4 linked regions of the Arabidopsis thaliana genome follow. The protein of the gene in region 3 interacts with the protein of the main gene of each other region in a biochemical or structural test. Each region holds a gene or a part of one and is shown on either strand. Other genes may lie near its edges. The genes, in order: AS1, NAC046, RCD1 and BBX8.

Region 1 (5,236 bases), on a different chromosome or scaffold from region 3:
CACAGCAGAGCGTGAAATTGTCAGAGACATAAAGGAGAAGCTTTGCTACATTGCTCTTGACTACGAGCAGGAACTCGAGACAGCCAAAACCAGCTCATCTGTTGAGAAGAACTACGAGCTACCTGATGGGCAAGTGATCACCATTGGATCAGAGCGATTCCGTTGTCCTGAGGTTCTTTACCAGCCATCTATGATTGGTATGGAGAATGCTGGTATCCATGAAACCACCTATAACTCCATAATGAAGTGTGATGTCGACATCAGGAAGGACTTGTACGGTAACATTGTGCTCAGTGGTGGAACCACAATGTTCCCTGGAATCGCCGACAGAATGAGCAAAGAGATCACTGCTTTGGCTCCAAGCAGCATGAAGATCAAAGTCGTTGCCCCTCCAGAGAGGAAATACTCTGTCTGGATTGGAGGGTCCATCTTGGCCTCCCTCAGTACCTTCCAGCAGGTACACACAGTCCCATCACTTGTTTACTCTAAACAGACCTAAACTAAATCCTAATCACTCTCAGCTTAACTAAACTGGTTCAATTCTGAAACTATGTGTTACCTTGTGCAGATGTGGATCGCAAAGGCAGAGTATGACGAGTCAGGTCCATCGATTGTTCACAGGAAGTGCTTCTGAGTTCAAAGTTGATCATTTTTCAGAGAAGAAGCACCGCCAGGGTTTTTCCGACCATTTCTCAAGCCGGGTTTTTAATCTTCCGTTATTCTGCTCTTTGTTTTTGTTCTCTTATGTTTTGAAATTCATGCCAAATACATTTTCATGGATTTATGGTAATCTGTTTGTAGTATGGTTTAAAATCTAATGCAACTGTGTTTTTGAGTGAATAAGTACACACCTCTTCCTCTTCAATTTTTCAATTATTATGTAACAATTTGTTTTCTGTCTTCTACTTGAATTTACACATGTAAAGATATAAATCGATTTTATTTATAAACCAAAGTGTTGCAGCTGACTAAATCAACATCAAGCTTGAGAAAACAAAGCCATGGATAAACTGAAGTGATAAATGGAACACAAAGGTAAAAGAAACAAATACAAAGCTGAGGTAAGGAACCCAAAAGTCTAAGTAAACATTGGAGACACCCAAATGATCAAAGACAAAAAAAAACAAAAAAAAACAAAAAAAAAACCTTACATTACATTACAAGTTACAACAAAGAGTTTAGGAGACGGTTCAGGGGCGGTCTAATCTGCAACCCATTTGTTGTTCAAGAAACTTGGTGAGTCTGATATGCCTAGAGGTCCATTGATCAGCCAGTTTCTGGTCTTTGGCCTCTGCGTCTCGCCTCAAACCAACGAGCTGTTCTCTGTACTCTCCTTCGATCTTCTCCATTGCGTTCTTCTGCTCTTCCCTAAGAGCTTTCATCTTTGCCTCAATCTCCTCCATCTTCTCCCTTTGTCTACACGTCTTCTCTGACTCTAGCTGCAGCTCCAGCCTTCTTAGCCTCCATGCAGCCTCTTTCTTATGGTCTGCCCAAGCTCGGTGCCCTTCCTCCAACTCTCTACAACACTCCACAAGCTCTGACAAGAACACACTCTCGCTACTCCCACTACAAGACGGCATCATACTCCCTAACACAAGTCCCCCTGGACCGTTCTCTGCTCTCTCAGGCTGTTGCTGCTGCAGCCACGGGATTGGCGGTTGAGGCGCAGCTGCAGCCACTGTGGAAGGCGATAATGTCAAAGTTACCGAGGGAGGCCTTGCAACAACATTGTTCCCATTGTTAGAAGTAGCTAACCAAGGCGGGATCACTGGGTTAGGAGGCTGAACTTGTTGTTCAGAATGTAAAAACCCTCCATTCGAATTAGCCATCACAACCGTTGCAGCAGCGGCAGCAGCAGGGACAACGTTAGACCGCTCTTTGACAAGCTTCTCAGCGAAACTCTCGAGAATCCGATCGTACTTACTCTCGTCAATAGGCTCAACTCTCTTGTTACTCTCTTTCTCTTCTCTCTGTTGCTTCTCCTTAAACACTTCCCACCACTTCCCTAACCGCTTTGCCGTCCTCCCGGGAACCTCAGCAGCAATCTTCTTCCACTTGTTGCCGTGTTTCTCCTGAAGACGGATCACAAGCCTCTGCTCTTCCTCTGTCAAAGACCCTTTCTTGATCCCTGGCTTAAGATAATTCTTCCATCTCTCTAAACAAGACTTGGCGTCACGGTTCAAAGGTTTGTTCATACGCTCAGACACAAGATGCCATTCTCTCGGACCGAACTGTCTAACGTAAGCACGTAACAATGCATCTTCTTCACCACTCCAACGTTGTCTCTCTTTCATCTCCTACTCCTCCTGACATCACTTCTTCCCATCTCACCATCCTTCTTCATCTGTACCAAATTCAAAATCAACCCGTTTCATAAATCTCTCCAATTCAAAACTCTAAAAGATCGAAACAAATCTACAAGATCTGTCGAATTTTCGAATTAGAAATTACAAAGTCTGAAAAATTTCCGTTTCAAGAAATGAAAATGACAAAAACTTTGACAATGTTTGAAGCAAAACTTGGAATAATTTGTTATTATCACACTATACAACCTATATTCTGGAAACCAAACAGGGGAAATTAATGCTGACCCCAAAACACTATTAAGCAAAGACTTATTAAGAAGATAAGAGAGTTAAAATTATTACTATAAAACAAAATAAAAATGCTTACCAAATGATATTGAAAAGATAAATAATCCCAAACTCAAGAGCAACTTCCATCACACAGATTTGCTCTCTCTCTCACTTTTTTTTTTTTATATAGTTGGAGAAAATGGAAGAGAGAAAACGAAAAGACCAAAGTGAGAGAGGCTTTTAAAACCAGACGACGTACACGATTAGACCACAGAGACGGCATAATTAAAATAAAATCTTTAAAAAAAAAAAGAGAGAAAAAGTTTACCGACTGAGACACAGACGTTTTCCCCTTTTTACATCACAAGTGGGGAAAAAAAAAACTCTGACAGAGGCGCGTGGAGGTGAAAAGTTGAAATTCCATAAGTTCGTTGTTTGTCATTGACAATATTAAACCTTTTTTTATATATATTTACTACATTGGGATCTCAAAATTCATTTTTCTATAACATTATGAGAAATAAAATGACAATCTAATGTAGGGGATGCTTTAAATTTAAATGAAAAAGTGTTGTACTTTAGTGGCTGAAAAGTCATTTACTTGTCAAAATGATAGAAGAAAAACTAACCATTCAAGAAAATAATGCTCCATTTATAAACTCCTTCACTCAAACAATAGAATTTTATGTCCAATTTGAGTAACATTAATTTCCACTTACCCATAAGAAAAATAATTATAATAGCATAAAAATAGTTAACATTTAAACTTGTTGATTTATTTTCCAAACACTTATATTTTGAAACAGCATATTAACATGGAAAAGTATTTGTTGAAAATGGAAGATTTCGCAATGATGATCAAATAGAGATGAGAAAATAAAGTTTTTGCAATGAGAAGAGATAGAACATCACTAATGTTACTCCCTATCAAAAAAAAAATCAATAATGTTGCAAGAAAAAAAAGAGAAATTTTATTTAAAAAATGAGCAAAACTAGAAATAATCAAGTAATTTTATAAAACCTTAGAAGATCTTTCTATTTGCCATTTGAAAACTTTAATTAGTAAAATAGATTTGGCTAAACAAATAAAAAAAACTTTTAGGCTAAAAATTGGATTTGACGTATGAGTAATTGGGGATGAGGGGGACACGTGTCAGAAAATGGGAATGGTATCTTTTGGGGAAAGCATGTAAGTGTGTAATAATGGTCCCCTTCTCTCTCCCATAACCCTACCAAAAATACTTTTCTTTGTTCCATCACATCCGACTACCACTACTCACTCACACCCTCCGTTTTTTTTTTCTGCTACCATGCGCCAAAATCTTCATAGCGTATTTTAGTATTTCTCCGACGTCTATAATCAGGCAGACAAAACTTTCACTCTTTTATCATTGCATCAACTAGTCACTCATCACCCCCAAGTATCTAGCTTATACAAATTAGGCAACCACATGTTTTCTATATAATATGATGTCACTAAGGTCTATTTATATATTATTATAATAAGATTATTGTTGACATTGTTGTTGTAATAGTGATACTGTAATACTATTATTCTAATAATGTATTTGGATAATTCAGTGTTGCATTATGTGTAATAGTTAATCGTAGCAGACACAGCATTACTAAGTCAATACATTTTATTTTCGATTTTTTTTGATAAAAATTTAGTTTGCAATGGTTTCCATTTTCTATTGTAATTTGTAAATCATTTCATCATGCAAACTTTTTAAGAGACATGACCTGACATTAAAAGTTCTTTTCACAAAATTAGAATGTTAACTACAAAAAAGTGAAGAGAATTTTCAAAATAAAATCACTACAAATATAGTAATAATATCTTTTTTTTTTTTTTTTTTTTTTACAGCAATAGTAGTAATATCTTTCCCCAACAAATTAAGCTGAAAAAATCAATATTCAAGAAACTAGTTTACTCTCAATTTTTTTTTTTTTTTTTTTTTTTTGTCAATCAGTTTACTCTCAAGTCTCAAAATAATACAAGAAATTATGCAGTGGTGTTGGTGTGATCTTACACAGAGGAGCGGAGAGAACAGCCAACATGGTAGGTTGATTTAACCAAAACAAGAAAAGTATGTTGATATGAGAATAGTGGTGGGCCTTGGATGGGCCTGCTTTGAAGGATAAAAAAATAAATTATCGATGTGTATGATTTACTTGACCGTTTGATTGCCTAATATATTTCTCTTTACATTCAAAATTTAATAGAACTTTTAGTATTGTGTGTTTTAAGTTTGAGTTAGTGCATGTTTCCCAGTTGCGAATCGTAAGATCTATCATTAATCACATGTTTAATAAAAAAAATAAAAAATAAAAATGAATAGTTTTTTATTATCAGGCGATTCGGACCATTTTGGTCCATAGTCTCTGATCAACCTTCAATAATATTTGTGATGGATCCACAGACATTAATCATCATGCATAGTTCATAATATTGCATGGCCCTCGCGACCTAACATGATATACATTTTAGAATTTTGATTCCGGAGGAAAAAAACTTTTAGTAAGCAAAACAATAAAAGAAGGATAAAATATACTATACTGTATATATAGAAGGGAATGTGAAACAGAGCAAAGACAGTAAAAAAAAAGAGAAGGTAAAAGGTGATGGTATCAGAGAAAGGTGTTTTTGAAATAGGAAA
Region 2 (4,400 bases), on a different chromosome or scaffold from region 3:
ATACTATTTGATTTGACATTTCTAGTAATTAAACTGCAATCATGAGTCCATTAGCTGCATCTACATTATAGTGAGCATATTGTTTTTTTAATTCTTGCAATCACTGAGTTTACTAATATATAATTAAGCTTATAGTACTAATATTCCGTGTGAATTCTTAAAAACTAATTAAGCTTATACTATAATGTTTGTTGAAAAATTAAGTAAGAAAACGTAATGTCATTGAGTGTAATAACTAAGCTTCTTAAGACAGAAGGCTTAGGGATCTGGAGTTTGTTTTTACAAGAAACCCATCTTTAATTACTGCCCTTACTTAGAATCTTTCTCAAAAATTTAAGTTATTTAATTAATTTGTGTCTTAATAAACTAATTTATTAGCCATATGAAAAGGCTTCAGATTCAGGGAACAAATCACATGTTTCGTGAGCTGTGTTCATTTTATTCAGATTATATAGGTCAATATTTTCCATTTTATGTACTGAATGAAAAAAACAAAAAAAACGTAATCGTACAAATTAATAACAAGTTAACAACATAACCTAAGATACTGAGATGCCAAATTTTCATATTACTTATAGTTATTGCTCGAGAAGTGATATAGTATAACTTATTGCTCGTTACTTGAGATTTTACAAAGGAACCATACTATGCATGAGCATGCAGGAGTCTCGCGTTTCGAACCGGAATTTCCCAACTCATAGAAAAGACCCCGGCATTAGAAAAAGAGTTTGATATATAAATGACAAAAGATTCACTAATTAATCACTATCTTGTCTTGTTAATGTTGACCAAGAATCGGTGACCATTAAGTATACATATATATGTGTTATTGCATTTCATTAGAAGATTAATGAGAGACTAATTTAAACGAAATAAACCATACGAATAATTTAAATGTATATATGTACAAGTTAATCACAAAGAAACATAACCCCAATGACAGCCTTTTTTCTCAAGCTAAAAACTAGGTAAGCAATCACCGAACTAAAGTCCAATGCCTAATAAACCTAATGATCTTATGTACATGTATATTATATACGAACTAATTACACGATTAAAAACACTAGACGAGTAATCAATATGCCACTCTTCAATCACAATTAACAAATAACCTTTTCCCAAATTTAGCTAGTATATAAATCTTCCCAGAAGATCAAGTCATCAAGACCATCACACGCTGACTTGCTACCATCCATCATTGCCGGATTCATCATCATTGGATAAGAAGATATCTCTGGCGTTGCGGTTGTGTTCACATCGGAACTCAAACCGGTTTCTTGAGACACACTCACAAGAGAATGCTCCAACTTGATCATACCTTTGTTATTATTGCCTGAACCTGCCCCGTAGCCGAAATCAGATCCGGAATTATGGACCGAGTGGTAAGGGAAATTGAGAGCTTGGGTAGGAAGGTAAGTGTTGTCGACTGGTGCGGTTGTAGGATGGTGGAGAACAGGTTTGAGATCGTGTTGTTGACGGGCACCGGAGAAGCTTGGGCCGGGTTGACCCAAGAAACCCGGATCTATGAGAGGAGGGAGAGATGAGAAGTCTAAGAGATGATCAATGTTATCAAGAGAATCAATCCTTGAGAGTTGTTTTGTAGTAGTGATTGTAGTACTAGGAGCGTTCTTGTGAAAAACCCTACACACCACCCATTCATCCTATAACCATCACACAAACAAAAAAAAATTTAGCATTTAGATTACTAATTAATTAAGTTCCTAATTAAGTTTCATGTTTTGGATTATTCTTGAACTAAGGCATATATAAAAAAAACGAACTATAGATAAACATTTCTCAACAAACAAATTTTGTATGCATCAAACTCGGATCTATTTTATTAAACCGAATCATATTTTTGCAAAAAGAGTGGTAAACTTTGACATACCCTTGCGGTTTTGGGGAGGTTATGATAAGAATATTTTCCATCAAGACGATATTCATGCATAACCCAATTGGTCTTTTCACCTTTAGGAGCTCTTCCTGTATAGAAAACAAGTGTTTTCTTCATCCCAACAAGACAACCTTTGCCTCTAAAGATCTCCTTGTCCTTCCCGGTCGCCTTCCAATAACCAGACACGGTCGCACGGTTCGTCCTCATCCCGGTCGGATACTTCCGATCCCTCTGGCAGAAAAAGTAAAACTCCTTCTCCCCCATCTTTGCAATCTCTGCACTCAAATCAAGAATCAGAATCTTGATCGATGATGATGTTTGAAATGGTCAAAATAAAAAACGATCTTGACTTGACTTACTTGGTAGATCCCATGGCTCGTTCTTGTTGAGGTCGGCTTGACCAATCGCTGCCGCGGTAAATCGGATGTTGAAGACCTTCTCTTTGAGGTAGTGAGTTATTATCTCTTCATCAGTAGGGTGAAACCGAAACCCCGGAGGCAAATCCACCACCTCCTGATCTCCTCCTTGATTCACAACTACGCCGCCTTCTTCCACCATCTATATATATGTATGCTTGATCAAGAACAAGAAAAATCCTTCAAGAAAACAATAACTTTTTGAGGAGATCGATCGATGGATATGTGTTTACTGCAGATACACGTTGGTGCTGAAGAAGAAATAAGAGGTTGAATAAAGAAAGAAAGAGAAGCAAAGGTATGAGCAATTTGAGGAAGAACTATGCAGTTAAAGGAAATGAAAATAAAAGTATGTGAAGGTAGAAAAAAAATGTCTTTATATAGAGGAAGATAAGAGCTAAAAAAAACAATAATGTTTCTTTTCTTTATGTTTTGTTTTTTTCTTATTTTTTTGGTGATGTAGAAGAGACACGTAAGCTCTAAGCAACTTCCTTACTTGTTGAAAAAGCCCCACAATTAGAAAACACTCAAAAATATCTTAAATGATATCTCATATCTGTATGAAATTCAGGGTAATAAGCAATTTATATATATAATTCAAGATAAGCTAAATATTATTTTTCTTCTTAGTGTCAAATAAAAACTGTATTTTAATTAATAAAATATTGCTATATGTAACAATTAATTTATTGGGATGGTTATGGAATTTTCCACAAATTTTCATATTTTAGATTTTAGATCCTACCATTAAATTTTAGATCCATAGGGTGACACGTCTGTCGAATAATTTTATGTTCCATATGAGGGTTAGTTTATTTTTTCCTTGTACATTACATAGGACTATGTCAGTATAGTCATCTTATGGGGTTCCTTAGCCAACCACCAGAAAAAAATGGGTTCGATAGCCACATGACCTTCATCTACCTTTTGAAAATAACCTCTTTTGGAAAGAAAATAAAGAGTCGTATGGCAGAAAAAACGTTTGAAGGAAAATATACCACTCAAAAGTGTTAAAAGGTTTGGCTCCTCTTCGTGTTATGTGGACCCATATTGTTGAAAATATGTCCCTTTTAAAATTTTATTACTATTTAATTTTATTATCCTACTGAAAGGAATCCCTAATGAAAACCTCAAAAGAATTTGTATGTTAATGTTCATTTTGTTAAACTTGAAATTTTAAGTTTCTATGAAGGTTTATATACGAGAGTAAATGATAAAATCGATCACATAAAATTGATATGCAGTACATATAGCTATGCCTATGGGTGTGGTTCAATGAGTTCTCAGTTCGGATATTTATTTGGATGTGGTTTAATGGATAATATATATAATCTAAATTATATATGTGATCGTACTTTGTAGCTTGATTAGACATTTATCAAACGACCCTAAGAGTTTAGCAACCATTTGTGGTGTGTTTCTTAACCTTACCAGTTAAGCTGAAGGAATAAAATAGTGTAAATTATCAACCAATTGGTGGTAGTGTGACGTAATCTTCAATTTTATTATTGGTATATAAATAAATATATGTTTATTATTTTAGAATTCATATCAATGGAGAAAAATATTATGTCAAAACACAATGATCAAATTATACTTATATTTAAACAGAGTTAAATATCAATGTTAACTTTTATATATACCATAAGTAATAAGAACATATATACTATAACTTATTATAATATTATATTTTTGAAGTCATAGTTTCAATGAGTAAATTCACCGTAATAAGAACATATTCTCTCTTTTTTTTATTAATGTCGGCATAATCATGTGTTTAATAAAAAGGTCAAAGAAACCACCGCCTGCAAAGATTAACTAGGAAAAAATACCAAATCAAAGCGTCCTAATTTAATTTTTGAAATTATAGATTAAAATTTGTATATTTGTGCTGATTGAACACAAAAATATTCTCAGATGACTGTCCATATTTCAAATGAAAAACATGATTGTCAATTATAAACTGCCGCTGTAGATTTTTAAAAATTTAGTCCTATTATCAACAATTTCTACAATTCATAAATTATCTGACTTTCGAGTCATTGGCTCATTGCCTATGAAACTGAACAAACAATACGATAAATATAAAT
Region 3 (6,931 bases):
CCGGCTTTGCCATTGTGGATTATGTCGAAAACACGAGTATATACCGGCTCTCCATGGAGTCTCTGATTCCCAATCACGCCATAAATCATTGAGGATTGCTTGGGTCACTAGCTTACAGAGCGTCGAGGCTAGACAATGTACATATAAGCTCATTAAAGGTAGATGAGAGCCCCGAATCTTGTAAAGGTAGTGAGCTGTCATAGTTGTAGTACGAAGTCCAAGTGAAAGATACATGGCTCCAATCCTCTGTAATATGCAAGAGTTAGGCTCATCATCAATTCCTCGGTTTTAAATTCGTTTAAAGCTAAAATGCCGACTCACAACACAAACAAAAAGGAATAAAATAATGCTTCAGATTATAACCATGAAAAGAAAACAGCCAGAACCATTGTACTTTTGGGTGAACCACTCGGATCAGATTCCAAATCGCTGTTATAGAGAAAGAGATCCCAAACTGACCGTTTACTCTACTCCACAGAGACTCCATAAAATCGAACTGATTGGACCTAGAATATCGAGATATCCACTAGCTTCTCATCGTCAGAGGCCAAGCTTACTCAGTGCGCATCATATAGAGCTCTAAAGGGGAGGAGAGGACCAACACTATTTTCTCCTGGTATTCCTCTAGTCTTGATTTACCCGTAGTACACAAGTGTCAAAGGAACCCAGAGGTGACCAGTTATCATACTCTTAAATAATCCTTCACACAAATGTGAGGCATCTAATAAAGCTAACAGAATAATGAGAAAAAGTATAGTGAAGAAAAGTTTCACGCGATAGGCTTAACGACCAAATTTTCGTCAAGATTCAACGACTTCCACAACAATGTTTTGCTTGCAGCTAAAGAAACAAAGACCCAACGACATCATTGACTAAGTAGAATCATATAATATAGTACGATTTTTCACGACAGAAAGAAAAGTCGACACATTTTAAACTCTACCAACGACCCGACCCAAAACCAAAAGTCTAAAATTAGAAAAAGTCAAAAGGAGAACCACAAAGGCAGGTAGATAGATAAAAAGCAGCTTCCTTTTGATATTCGTCATCATCATCATCCACTTTACTTACAATCCACCTGCACCTTCTTCATGGTCTCTGATGCTTCCTGGAATCTCCTTCGACTTTGGCTGAAGTTAAAACCAAAAAACCTTTGTTGAGCATTTCCGTTTACAAAGTAAACTTATGATCAACAACAATATCTCTACTACTACTATCTTACCTGGTTTTGAAGGGTTGTTATGGTGGACCTTAGCAGATCATCTCCTACAATCACCCGCAGTTTCCTGACAAACTCCGCTCTCGTCATCTTCTTATCCTGCACAACAAATTTCTTATGTATTCCAGCTTATGCAATTACCAATCATAAAGCAAACTCTCAGAATCAGTTTTTTTCTATACCCTCAGTTGTTGGTAGTCAGCATTGATCAACAACATGTCGTTCTCTGCAACCTTATGTGAGATTGCTGCAAACAGAGTAGGAAATGGCATCCATGGAGATTTGGGTCTTGTAGTGCTTGAACCAACACTGTTTGCACTTCCTGAACCTCTTGCTCCCTGCTTTTTAAACACAACAACACCACATATAGTTGTTCAGTCCCTCTTCTTTAATAAGATCATACAAAGAAAAACTGAAGTAACCAAACTCACGTTTGACTCCAATTGAGGAGGAAGATCCTTAGGTCCTTCCAAAGTGACCCCTGAGTTATCACGCTTAGCAATCAAATTACCTGCAGAAACCAGTGTATGTCATCGGACTTCTAATACTACACAAAACATAATTTTGATGGATCGAAATACCCATTAAGGCGTGAGTATCACATCCGACCCCCGGATGATGAATCAGAGACTTGTCTCTTGAAACCCAAATGTGTTATAACACCGGAGGTCGTTAGGTTTATCATTATCACACATGGAACTTTTTTTTCTAAATTTATCAGTTGAGACCTGAGCTTCAGCCAGATCTCTAAGCTGTCTCCCTTTCAATGCGTCATCAGTTGATTTGAATGGGGGAAGATAGAATGTGAGGAACAAAAAAAAGAACAAACTAATCACCTTCAGCATTGGGGAGATTAGACAGCTTGAACCTAACAACAAATTCCGGGAATATATGTGTGTTCATATTGATGTTCCAGACAATGTAATTCTTTGGACTCTCAATGTCATCGACTCCATTGTCATATTCTTCTCCACCAGAAAAGAACTGAGCTTTATCACCACGAAGAAGCTCCATATTCCCCATAATCACACGGCATAAAACCATGTAACGTACTCCGTTTTCGTCAACATCACAGTATCTAGCACTGTAAACAAGTTCATAGTTAGTACTTGACACACAAAGAACCTATTGCAGAGGAAGGTAAAATATACGATCTAAACATGAAAAAAACAGATGAATACGAGGCAAATACCTGAAATAAGGGCAGTCTGCAGCGGTTAAATGGATCCCAACACCATAGATGGACTTTCTGATAAATGCTCCACCAACTCCAAGTCCTTGCATCATCACTGCTGATAAAACTTCCCTCTTTGCAGGAAGCCAGGCATACCTAACGTTTGCATCCCCTCGATGTTTCTTAGTGATCTCAACCTGCTTCTGGAAAAGTGCTAGACGAGCTTCAGCAATCTCACTGGAAAAACGGCCCACATCCAGCACTGGTACATGTCCTAGAGAAGCTGTGCCTACAGCAAACATTTTTTTTACTGCATCTTTATCAAGTACTTCGCTTCCCGTAAGCTTGGCACCAGAGACGACTATAGCATCAGTCTCATCCCATTTCGAAACAGCAGCTTCGAGCTTGCGGCTGCAGCTATCCTCCGTAGCCTCGTCATAGTGCTCATTTGAAGATCGTTGAGCAAGGGGAACATCGTCCATCATATTATCACCAGACTCATCACTGCACTCCTCCAAATTTAACCTCGGTGTCTCGCCACCATTAACATCAATCTCTAGGCGAAGTTTGATATCATGAGGAGCATTCTGTTTTGGGTCTTCCACACATTTATGATGGCAGTAATTGGTCCTTTCATCACTCTCATAAATTTCAGGGAAAAAGCACTTTCCTGCATTGTCAATCCATGCAAGAGGGGTTTTTGCTCCTGTTTCCATGTCTAGTCTTTGCATGTGCAAGAAGTCCAAAATAAAACTGTGACCGCATAACTTGAACTCAATTGCGGCGCTCTTTTCTTCTAATTCATTCTGGATGGCGCATATAACGTGCTCAGGCAAATCATTCCATTCGCCATTCTCATACATCATAACACGTTTAGCGATTCCAGTCTTCTTAAAATAAGTGTAATATCTGACCAGCGCCTTCCCAGAGCGATTCTCGTAAGCGCTAAGCTTGTTTTCACCTTCCAGCCTTCTTCTTTTGTCAGGAATTTGGCACTGCCCGTTCGGTGGGGGCACATTTTGCAGCTTTGCACACGAAACTCCAGTAACATATGCAGCATAGCTTGCTGCGCGCTTCCTCTTTTTTCCGAATCCATCTTCACACCTACTACTATCCAACACCTTGACGATCTTGGCTTCCATTTCTATATATTAACAATACTAAACCTATAACCTTGATAGAAAAAGTCAACTGTGTAACCTCTAAACTCCCTAGCAGTCCTAAAGATAGTGTCTTGCCGACAGCATTAGAAAACACTGCACAAAAGAAATGGAAAAGGCTTAAAATATTGAACAACTATATTACAGAGAATAGAGTCAAACAAAAACTCCTCACAGTTTACATGATAAAGAATCAGTAAACAAGAAAGAATCAGCATAACTATATGAGACCTATGATCCTGTAATATCATTCCTTCACAAAAGACATTTGCTACAATTTCCATCAGTAAGTAACATTATGAACAGTCTTTCATTACTTCTTGTTGTATCTTGTGTTATAAAGAGCACAAAGATCCATTACAAAGACGGAAGGTACAAATCAACCTACATAGGAATGAAGCAATAAGAAATGAACATCACACTCAACAAGAACGATCCTATGAGACACTAAAGATAAACACAGAAACAAACCAACAAAAACAAGTAAACCCAATCACCAACACAGAAAAATGAGAACAATAAACCCAAGCCATGAGCTTGAAACTCACCCAACAGTAACAGTTAGAGTCTGATAGATTACAAGTGTGTTCATCTTCTCCGTCATAAAAATAAACACAATCAGAGAAGAAATGCCACGTCTTTTTATAACAGCCGTCAGCAAGATAAAGTTCCTGCAACATCCAAACCAGCAACTTTTTAGCTTTCAATAAAAATTAAAATTCATCTCTCAAGTCAAAATAGCTCTGTTGCTTCACAAAATCCACAAATCGAACCAAATCAATCGCAGTTTCACTGATTTTCAAAATAAACTAAAATCAGAGACGAAAAAACACAGATCGTAAGCATAATCACACGAATCATCCAAAAACTCAATCAAAACAACACAAAACCACTCAAAATCAAACGAATCTAAGCCGATCTACAATCATCGACTTCAACAAAAAAAAACAATTCAAGATAAAAAAAAAAATCCTCAAATCGCATGAGAAGAATTGAAACAAAACGAAAAGAAACTGAACATGAACATGAACATGACGGACCTCTTTTTTCAGATCGATCGCAGGCAACAAGGGTAATCTAAAAGCAAAAGCTGACCAGAAAAAACGGAGGAAAAGGAGAAGATAAGATTTGCTTATAGAGAAAACCCTAAGCCGGCGATGACGACGAAGAAGAAACAGAATCGAAGAGTCATTTATATATAATCGGCGATATTGGAGAGATGATGAAGAAGAAATTCTTAAGTCGGCGGTTCCTGAGTTTTTTTCCTCTTTCTCTAACCAAAAATTTGCTTGGACGAAAAGCAAATCATGTGGGCTTTATTAAAGCTACAAGTCGGTCAGTCAACGTCGAAATCTTATTGGGTGGTGACTTAATTGAAGAGGCGGTCAATACACGCAGATAGATATGGTCGAATACAATAATGGAATAATATTATCATGAGGAGAACAAAAATATTACAATTAAATGTAACGAGGGCAACAATTATAAAATTGTTGAAATTAGAAAAGTGTGTATTGACGGAACATGATTGATAAGATTGTGAATCGATGAATAGACTAGGGGGGCCATTGGAATGGAGATAGCTATCGACATTGAAAAATATTTTCTTTATTGCGTACAAGGTCTAACAAAGTTTTAGTTGTATTGCAAGTGGCAAATAAAATTTTATTAGTTGAGGATAGTTTAGAAGTTTTTGAAAATATTATTTTACAAAGTTATAAGAATATTTAATCAATTTTTAAAAACTTTCTCCAGAAAAATGTTTGTTAACAAAAAATAATTTTCATTATTTCGATAGCCGTTATTTAAATTTGCCGCGATTATTTTTAATGGTTTTTATTTTTTCTGTTTCATTGCCGCGTTTATTTGTAATGATTTTTATTTTTCCGTTTTTCTATAAACAATACTACAATAGCATAAATTTTGAAGTGATATATGGTTTATAAGGGTAAGAATATTTAATCATTTTCAATACAGATAACTTTCAAAATTAGACATACTAAATGAGATATAAAAAATTCCATTGATATACTTCCAATAATTATCACATTTCTAAACTAGCAAAATTTATTTTATTTTAAAACATAGAAGATACGCATAATAGTCAATGAACTATTGACTTGGAAAAGATATCACCTTGGATATTAAGTCTGGACTTTTTGCGTAGTTTTCTTATAAAAAAACTATCAAAATTAAATTTCTACAATTATTCATTGAAAACACAATCTTTGGAAAAGGCTATAATTTGAAAACAATATTTGGAATTGGCTAATTTGAGGATGGATAAATAACATTTCGATTGGCTTAAGAAAGAACACTAGATCGATATCTCTTGGAGAGAGTTAGAACTCTTTTGATGTCTAGACGGATGAAGAATACTTAGTTGATAAATTGTACCTCGCAATTTTTTTCAACTTTGTTTTATAATGGGCCAGTTTTTATTTTTTGGGCTTTAGACAGCATATTAAGATGGACCGGCCGTGACTACGGGTTTAGTTGGTACCGAAAACGGCTGTCTTCCCAATCTTGTAAGATCTATAAAATTCAAGACTAAACTTTTATCATATACACGTTTGTACTATTCGGTGGAAAACCAAAGGATCTATATATACATGCATTCATGGGAATATTATTCTGTGTATGATATGTCACAGCTATATAGTTTGTGTAGCCATGGCTCATATTGAATAATGAAAATGTCACAACTATATAGTTTGTGTAGCCATGGCTCATATTGAATAATGAATATGTCACAACTATATAGTTTTTATATCTCTTATTTTTCTAGAATTTACCAACCTACGATTAGGCCTGTTACGGATCCGGATATCCGGGTTTTTTGGAGTATCCGGATCCGTATCCGTATCCGGCGGATATGTAGTTTTAGGATCCGCATCCGGATCCGTAAACCTCGGATATCCGGATTTCGAATATCCGTGAAAAAACTGGATATCCGCGGATATTCGGGATCCGTTTATTTTTGGGAACAAATTCAATTTCCTATTTCACCAACCAGATTGAATTCACCACCAAAAGAGATCGACGTGTGCCCGACATCAGACTTTGCAAGGCACATACCACCAAGATCTCGTCTTTAACGGTGTCCAATCTGCTCCTCCTCATTCATCTCCGCCGTCGACACTTTGAATCCCATGTATCATCATTCCCGTAAGTAAACTTCCGTCCATAAATTTACGACGGTGGAACCGAGATGAATATGGTGGGGAGACGGTGATGGAGATTAGATGGAGATGAGATGGAGATAGTGAAGGAAATGGTGATGGAGAAAACATTCACGGCGGCAGAAAAAATATGTTATGAAACCCTAATAGTTAAGTCCCAAACAAACTCAAATTCCATCATTTTGTCGTAGTGGGC
Region 4 (5,292 bases), on a different chromosome or scaffold from region 3:
CATTTGCTGCAAAAATAACGGACAATCCAAAGACCGTGGCACAACTCAAGTCGGCTGCATCGCCTTCACCTCATAGTACCGTGACGTGCGGTTACCAAGCTCATGTGGCAGGGTTCTTTCGAAACGTCACCGTTTTATGGTCCAAGAATCTCATGAATCATTCCCTCACCGTAATGGTGTCGAGTTTAGACAATGACATGAATTATTGTTGTAAGATTGATCTCGTGAAGCCATGGCAGTTTTGGAGCAAAAGAGGGTCAAAGTCATTCGACGTAGAGGGAAACTTTGTGGAGGTCTTTTGGGATCTTCGATCAGCAAAATTGGCTGGAAACGGTAGCCCCGAACCCGTGTCAGACTATTACGTGGCAGTAGTTTCTGATGAAGAGGTTGTTTTATTGTTGGGAGATTTAAAGCAAAAGGCTTATAAGCGGACCAAGTCAAGACCGGCATTGGTGGAAGGGTTCATATACTTTAAAAAAGAAAGCATATTTGGGAAGAAAACGTTTTCGACTCGGGCAAGGTTTGACGAACAAAGAAAGGAACATGAAGTGGTGGTGGAGAGCTCTAATGGAGCAGCGGAGCCAGAGATGTGGATAAGCGTTGATGGGATCGTGGTTGTGAACGTGAAGAATCTACAATGGAAATTTAGGGGAAACCAAATGGTGATGGTGGATAGAACACCGGTAATGGTCTACTATGATGTTCATGATTGGTTGTTTGCAAGTTCGGAGACTGCAGCGAGTTCAGGGTTGTTTTTGTTTAAGCCTGTTCCGGTTGGAGCGATGGTAGATGAGAGCTTTAGCGATGCGGAGGAAGGAGATAGCGGAGGAGGGAGTAGTCCTTTGAGTCGTTATAATTCAGCATCAAGTGGTTTTGGACCATTGCATGACTTTTGTTTGTTTCTTTATGCTTGGAAACTTGAATGAAGACTATTAATATCATAGTGTGTGTGTTTTTATTTAAATCTCTTTTGGTGATTAAGTTGGAATAGAATTAGAAATTAACAATTTAGTCTACCTTAGTTTGGTCCCAAATACCAACTAAACGATTGCTCAAGAGTTAGGACAATCAGATATTTGCAAACAAAAAGTTTGTATTAGTTTAACCATACTTTTTGTTAATCGAATAACCATAAGAAAATTTGGTAAGTTTCTTATGGATATGAGTTAGTTTTCTTTAGCTAGGCCATTATATATATAAGTCTATTTATTTACAAATTCAATTAAAAACAATTAGCTTATTTAGTTATCAATTAAAGCTGTTTTTTATTTTAAAAAATTAGCCTATTAAGGTTTTGACTTTTTAAAAAAAATACATGAAGCAAAAAAAGAATGAAAAGTCTTTAAAAAATGAAATACTTGACACTAGCATTGTGACTATCTAGTGTACATAGTTTCAAATTAAAAGTTTTCAACTCAAATTAATGTACTAATATTTTGTCAAATTGAATAATATAAGTAAGAGTGGACACCGACCTGCGCGTGTCAGTGTTACAGATACACAAATATCTTTTTTTGTGTAGACGTTTCCAATTTGCCAGATATTATATTTGATCTTTCTCTTTCTTTTCACCTACAAAAATAATATCTCCTTTTTTAGGCAAGATATTTTGTTCATTCATGTGCGTCTCTCAAATTAAGATATTTTGGTTTTTTGTAAAGTCAAAGCAAAGACTATTGTTGTGATTGGGCTTTTAAGCCTTAAAGCATCTAAAAGAAGACGCTTTTGAGAATCCAGAATCGGAAAAGTTCCACTTGTGCCTTGTAGATCGCGAGTACGGCTCTTTGTCTACACGCGAGCGCGTGACTTCATACTCATAAAAATATCTTTAGGGTCCTTAGAAAATGGGTTCTTTTGAACTTTTTACCCAATGTTTCTAGAATTATCAGCTTATGTCACATGCCTCTGCCTACATGTCCCTTTGCAGACACAACCCACCCATTGTCTATCCATCTGTTTCTCCTTTTACCCTTCTTCACACGCAGCTAAAGAAGAAATTTGTGGAATCATCGCTTATTCGTTTCAAAAGTCATTCATTTTTGGTGTCTCTGCTTCAGAAGATACTTGACGATCTCTCCTACGTGAGCTCTTTAAAACCCTTGTCTTGTTATTTTAGTGAGGGTTGCTTTGATTCTCAATCCTTTTTGACTGATCTTGAAATGGATCTTCTTTCACTTCTCTCGGATTTGTAATAAGAAATCTATAATTTTTTAGCTCACTTCTCTGATTGGTACATGTTGATCTGAAATTTGAAGTCTTTCTGCGATGTTAATTGGTTTCTCTGATGTCTCTTTTGATTGGTCTTTGATTTAGAACAGTCTCATCCATAGGAAGTTACAATCTTTGAGGAAGAGATGTTTAAAAAGATTGGACTTTTATCTAATTCTGGACTTGCTTTCGATACCAAGTTTCAAGCTTTTGTTAGTTGTTTAATGTATTGTGGTAAGTTTTTTTCCTTCTAAGATTATGATATAAGGGACTAACCAAAATGGTTTGATTCTTTGTTAGTGAAAGGAGCTTGCTTTCTTCAGTGTGACGGTTGAGATTGGTTGAAAGATGGGTTATATGTGTGATTTCTGTGGTGAACAAAGATCAATGGTGTATTGTCGATCTGATGCAGCGTGTTTGTGTCTTTCGTGTGACCGTAATGTTCATTCTGCTAATGCTCTATCGAAACGTCATTCGCGGACTTTGGTATGTGAGAGGTGTAATGCACAGCCAGCTTCTGTCCGGTGTAGTGATGAGAGGGTTTCTCTATGTCAAAACTGTGATTGGTCAGGCCATGACGGCAAGAATTCTACTACTACTTCACATCATAAAAGGCAAACCATCAATTGTTATTCTGGTTGTCCCTCGAGTGCCGAATTATCCTCGATATGGTCTTTCTGTATGGATTTGAATATCTCTTCTGCTGAAGAATCCGCTTGTGAGCAAGGAATGGGTTTGATGACTATAGATGAAGATGGCACAGGAGAAAAATCTGGTGTCCAAAAAATTAATGTAGAACAGCCTGAAACCAGTTCGGCTGCACAAGGTATGGATCACTCTAGTGTTCCAGAAAATTCATCAATGGCTAAGGTATTTTAACATGATTTTCTTCATATTGTGGTAAGATCTTGAAAGCAACTAGCGTCTAAATGTTTCTTATTATTGTACTGGTTGTAGGAGCTTGGAGTATGTGAGGATGACTTCAATGGAAATCTCATTTCAGATGAAGTAGACTTGGCTCTTGAGAACTATGAAGAACTCTTTGGTTCAGCCTTCAACTCATCAAGATATCTCTTCGAGCACGGTGGAATTGGAAGTCTTTTCGAGAAAGATGAAGCTCATGAGGTTTTGTCAACCTTCTTCTTCTATCTGAGACTAGTATCACTAAAGTTAAGGATGATTTTTTTCTGTGATCCTTATGCTCTTTTGTGTGTTTTCTCAATTCAGGGCTCAATGCAGCAGCCAGCATTAAGCAATAATGCATCTGCAGATTCGTTCATGACTTGTAGAACCGAGCCAATAATTTGCTATTCATCAAAGCCAGCACATTCGAATATCTCCTTCTCTGGCATCACTGGAGAAAGTAATGCTGGAGATTTCCAAGATTGTGGGGCGTCATCGATGAAGCAGCTTTCAAGGGAGCCACAACCATGGTGCCATCCAACAGCACAGGACATTATTGCTTCCTCACATGCAACAACACGTAATAACGCTGTTATGCGTTACAAGGAAAAGAAGAAGGCTCGCAAGTAAGTATAAACGCACACAGAAAGGAATTTAATTCATCATTGAAAGTTGTTATAGCTAATATTTAACATATTTTGTATAAATAGGTTTGACAAGCGAGTAAGGTATGTCTCTAGGAAAGAAAGGGCTGATGTGAGACGGCGTGTGAAAGGACGGTTTGTCAAGTCCGGTGAAGCTTATGATTACGACCCGATGAGCCCAACAAGAAGCTACTGAGGATAAAACCTCAAAACAATGAAAGATCACAAAGTGGAGATATAAGACAGAGATGCAACTAATTGGCAGCGATGGATCTGGAAGCCATTATTGGTTGAAAAGGAACACGAGTTCTCCGCCTCAAAAGCGTCATACTTGCTTAGAAAGGCGCATGCTTCTGCAGTTCTGCCTCATTTTTTGCATAAAGTTTGTTATCTTCTTCTGTCATTTGGCATCATGACTTGACTGTGAAACTAGAAACTCTTCTACAGATTCAGGTTCATGATCCTTAAATTTTGTCCTATTATAATTTGTGTAGCCAAGGCAAAACAACGAATGTATATTTTTTTTACGTCATATAAATAATAACCATGTAGAAGTTTGGAGTATCATCACTTCTATATTTACGGTATTGGTTAATGATACTAACAAGTGTATTTTCTAAAAGCGTAACCACAAGAATCACAACCTTTCAGGATCCTTTTGCACTATCAAAAAACTGAATTCATTCATATTGATCAGACAAAATTTGCATGATACAAAGGCAAAATTAAAGTTTGCTCGTTTAACTACTAGTTTAAACTCTTCAGTCTTCATAACTTTCATCTCCTGACAAACCGGCAAAATCATCTCCCTCGCTTGTTTCCTGCGGACAATTCAATTTTAAGTTTCAGATCAAAGAGTATAAATCAGTATGCAAGCTATGTGATTCCAGATTTGTGGATAAGAATGAAGAGATACCTGTTTCTTGTCCCAGTCCTTCAGTTTTGGGTTTGCTAACATGTAATTATCTCGTAGAGGAGCCCAAACAGGAGCTTCGTCTTCAGATTTGTGAGCCTGCACCATCCAACAGAATATCACTAGTTAACTAACCAACAATACTTTAGACTTATAACTAACGGCTCTCGCTACTGAAGGTGATCCTTTCTCTATAGAAGCCAGCTCAAGACAGAATACTAACTTGCTTCTATGTTCATCCAAAGTTGAAGGCTTTAAGAACATTCAAAATTGTTACTAGTAATTTACTAAGAATACTTCTGATTTATAACTAACATCTATCACTCACTCATGAGGTGATTCTTTTCGTGACTCTCTATAGGAGCTAGATCAAGACAGAATACTAACTTGTTTCTACGTGCATCAAACGGCTAAGGAATAAACTCTCAAGATAAATCATAATGAAAGAGAGAGAGTAAGAGATATGGAGACTATGCCAAACCTTGGTGTCTGTTTTTGTTTTCCCTAACTCAGACAAGAATGCTTCTTTTCTTCGCTTCTTCAGCACTGATGGATGTTCCAATAGGATAAAAAACGAGAATTAGAAGATAAGAACAAGACAGTGGATTCATGCCAACGATCAAT

The links.
Region 1: the proteins of RCD1 (region 3) and AS1 form a complex in vitro, tested with the Arabidopsis thaliana proteins (one study listed by BioGRID).
Region 2: the proteins of RCD1 (region 3) and NAC046 form a complex in vitro, tested with the Arabidopsis thaliana proteins (one study listed by BioGRID).
Region 4: the proteins of RCD1 (region 3) and BBX8 form a complex in vitro, tested with the Arabidopsis thaliana proteins (one study listed by BioGRID).

Annotation. Positions count from the first base shown.
Region 1 is NC_003071.7:15,780,608-15,785,843, forward strand, and holds AS1 (myb-like HTH transcriptional regulator family protein), read right to left. Parts: upstream 2,874-5,236; 5' UTR 2,674-2,873; intron 2,345-2,673; 5' UTR 2,295-2,344; coding exon 1,191-2,294; 3' UTR 635-1,190; downstream 1-634. Other genes in the region: ACT1 (actin 1), read left to right, coding at 1-457, 569-634.
Region 2 is NC_003074.8:1,052,501-1,056,900, forward strand, and holds NAC046 (NAC domain containing protein 46), read right to left. Parts: upstream 2,697-4,400; 5' UTR 2,453-2,696; coding exon 2,254-2,452; intron 2,170-2,253; coding exon 1,889-2,169; intron 1,662-1,888; coding exon 1,125-1,661; 3' UTR 860-1,124; downstream 1-859. UniProt on the Arabidopsis thaliana protein: Transcriptional activator that acts as a positive regulator of leaf senescence. Activates NYC1, SGR1, SGR2 and PAO, which are genes involved in chlorophyll catabolic processes. Activates senescence-associated genes, such as RNS1, SAG12 and SAG13.
Region 3 is NC_003070.9:11,610,031-11,616,961, reverse strand, and holds RCD1 (WWE protein-protein interaction domain protein family), read right to left. Parts: upstream 4,845-6,931; 5' UTR 4,594-4,844; intron 4,225-4,593; 5' UTR 4,102-4,224; exon of another isoform or gene 3,650-4,101; 5' UTR 3,536-3,649; coding exon 2,412-3,535; intron 2,304-2,411; coding exon 2,056-2,303; intron 1,731-2,055; coding exon 1,651-1,730; intron 1,561-1,650; coding exon 1,402-1,560; intron 1,319-1,401; coding exon 1,223-1,318; coding exon of another isoform or gene 1,214-1,222; exon of another isoform or gene 1,131-1,213; coding exon 1,068-1,130; 3' UTR 744-1,067; downstream 1-743. Other genes in the region: AT1G32225 (uncharacterized protein), read right to left, coding at 6,673-6,846. UniProt on the Arabidopsis thaliana protein: Inactive ADP-ribosyltransferase that functions with SRO1 to regulate oxidative stress, hormonal and developmental responses. Required for embryogenesis, vegetative and reproductive development, and abiotic stress responses.
Region 4 is NC_003076.8:19,560,378-19,565,669, reverse strand, and holds BBX8 (B-box type zinc finger protein with CCT domain-containing protein), read left to right. Parts: upstream 1-1,837; 5' UTR 1,838-2,081; intron 2,082-2,508; 5' UTR 2,509-2,556; coding exon 2,557-3,078; intron 3,079-3,165; coding exon 3,166-3,333; intron 3,334-3,435; coding exon 3,436-3,737; intron 3,738-3,821; coding exon 3,822-3,951; 3' UTR 3,952-4,351; downstream 4,352-5,292. Other genes in the region: AT5G48270 (DUF868 family protein (DUF868)), read left to right, coding at 1-926; AT5G48240 (Rrp15p protein), read right to left, coding at 4,517-4,576, 4,672-4,767, 4,843-4,897, 4,993-5,078, 5,150-5,214.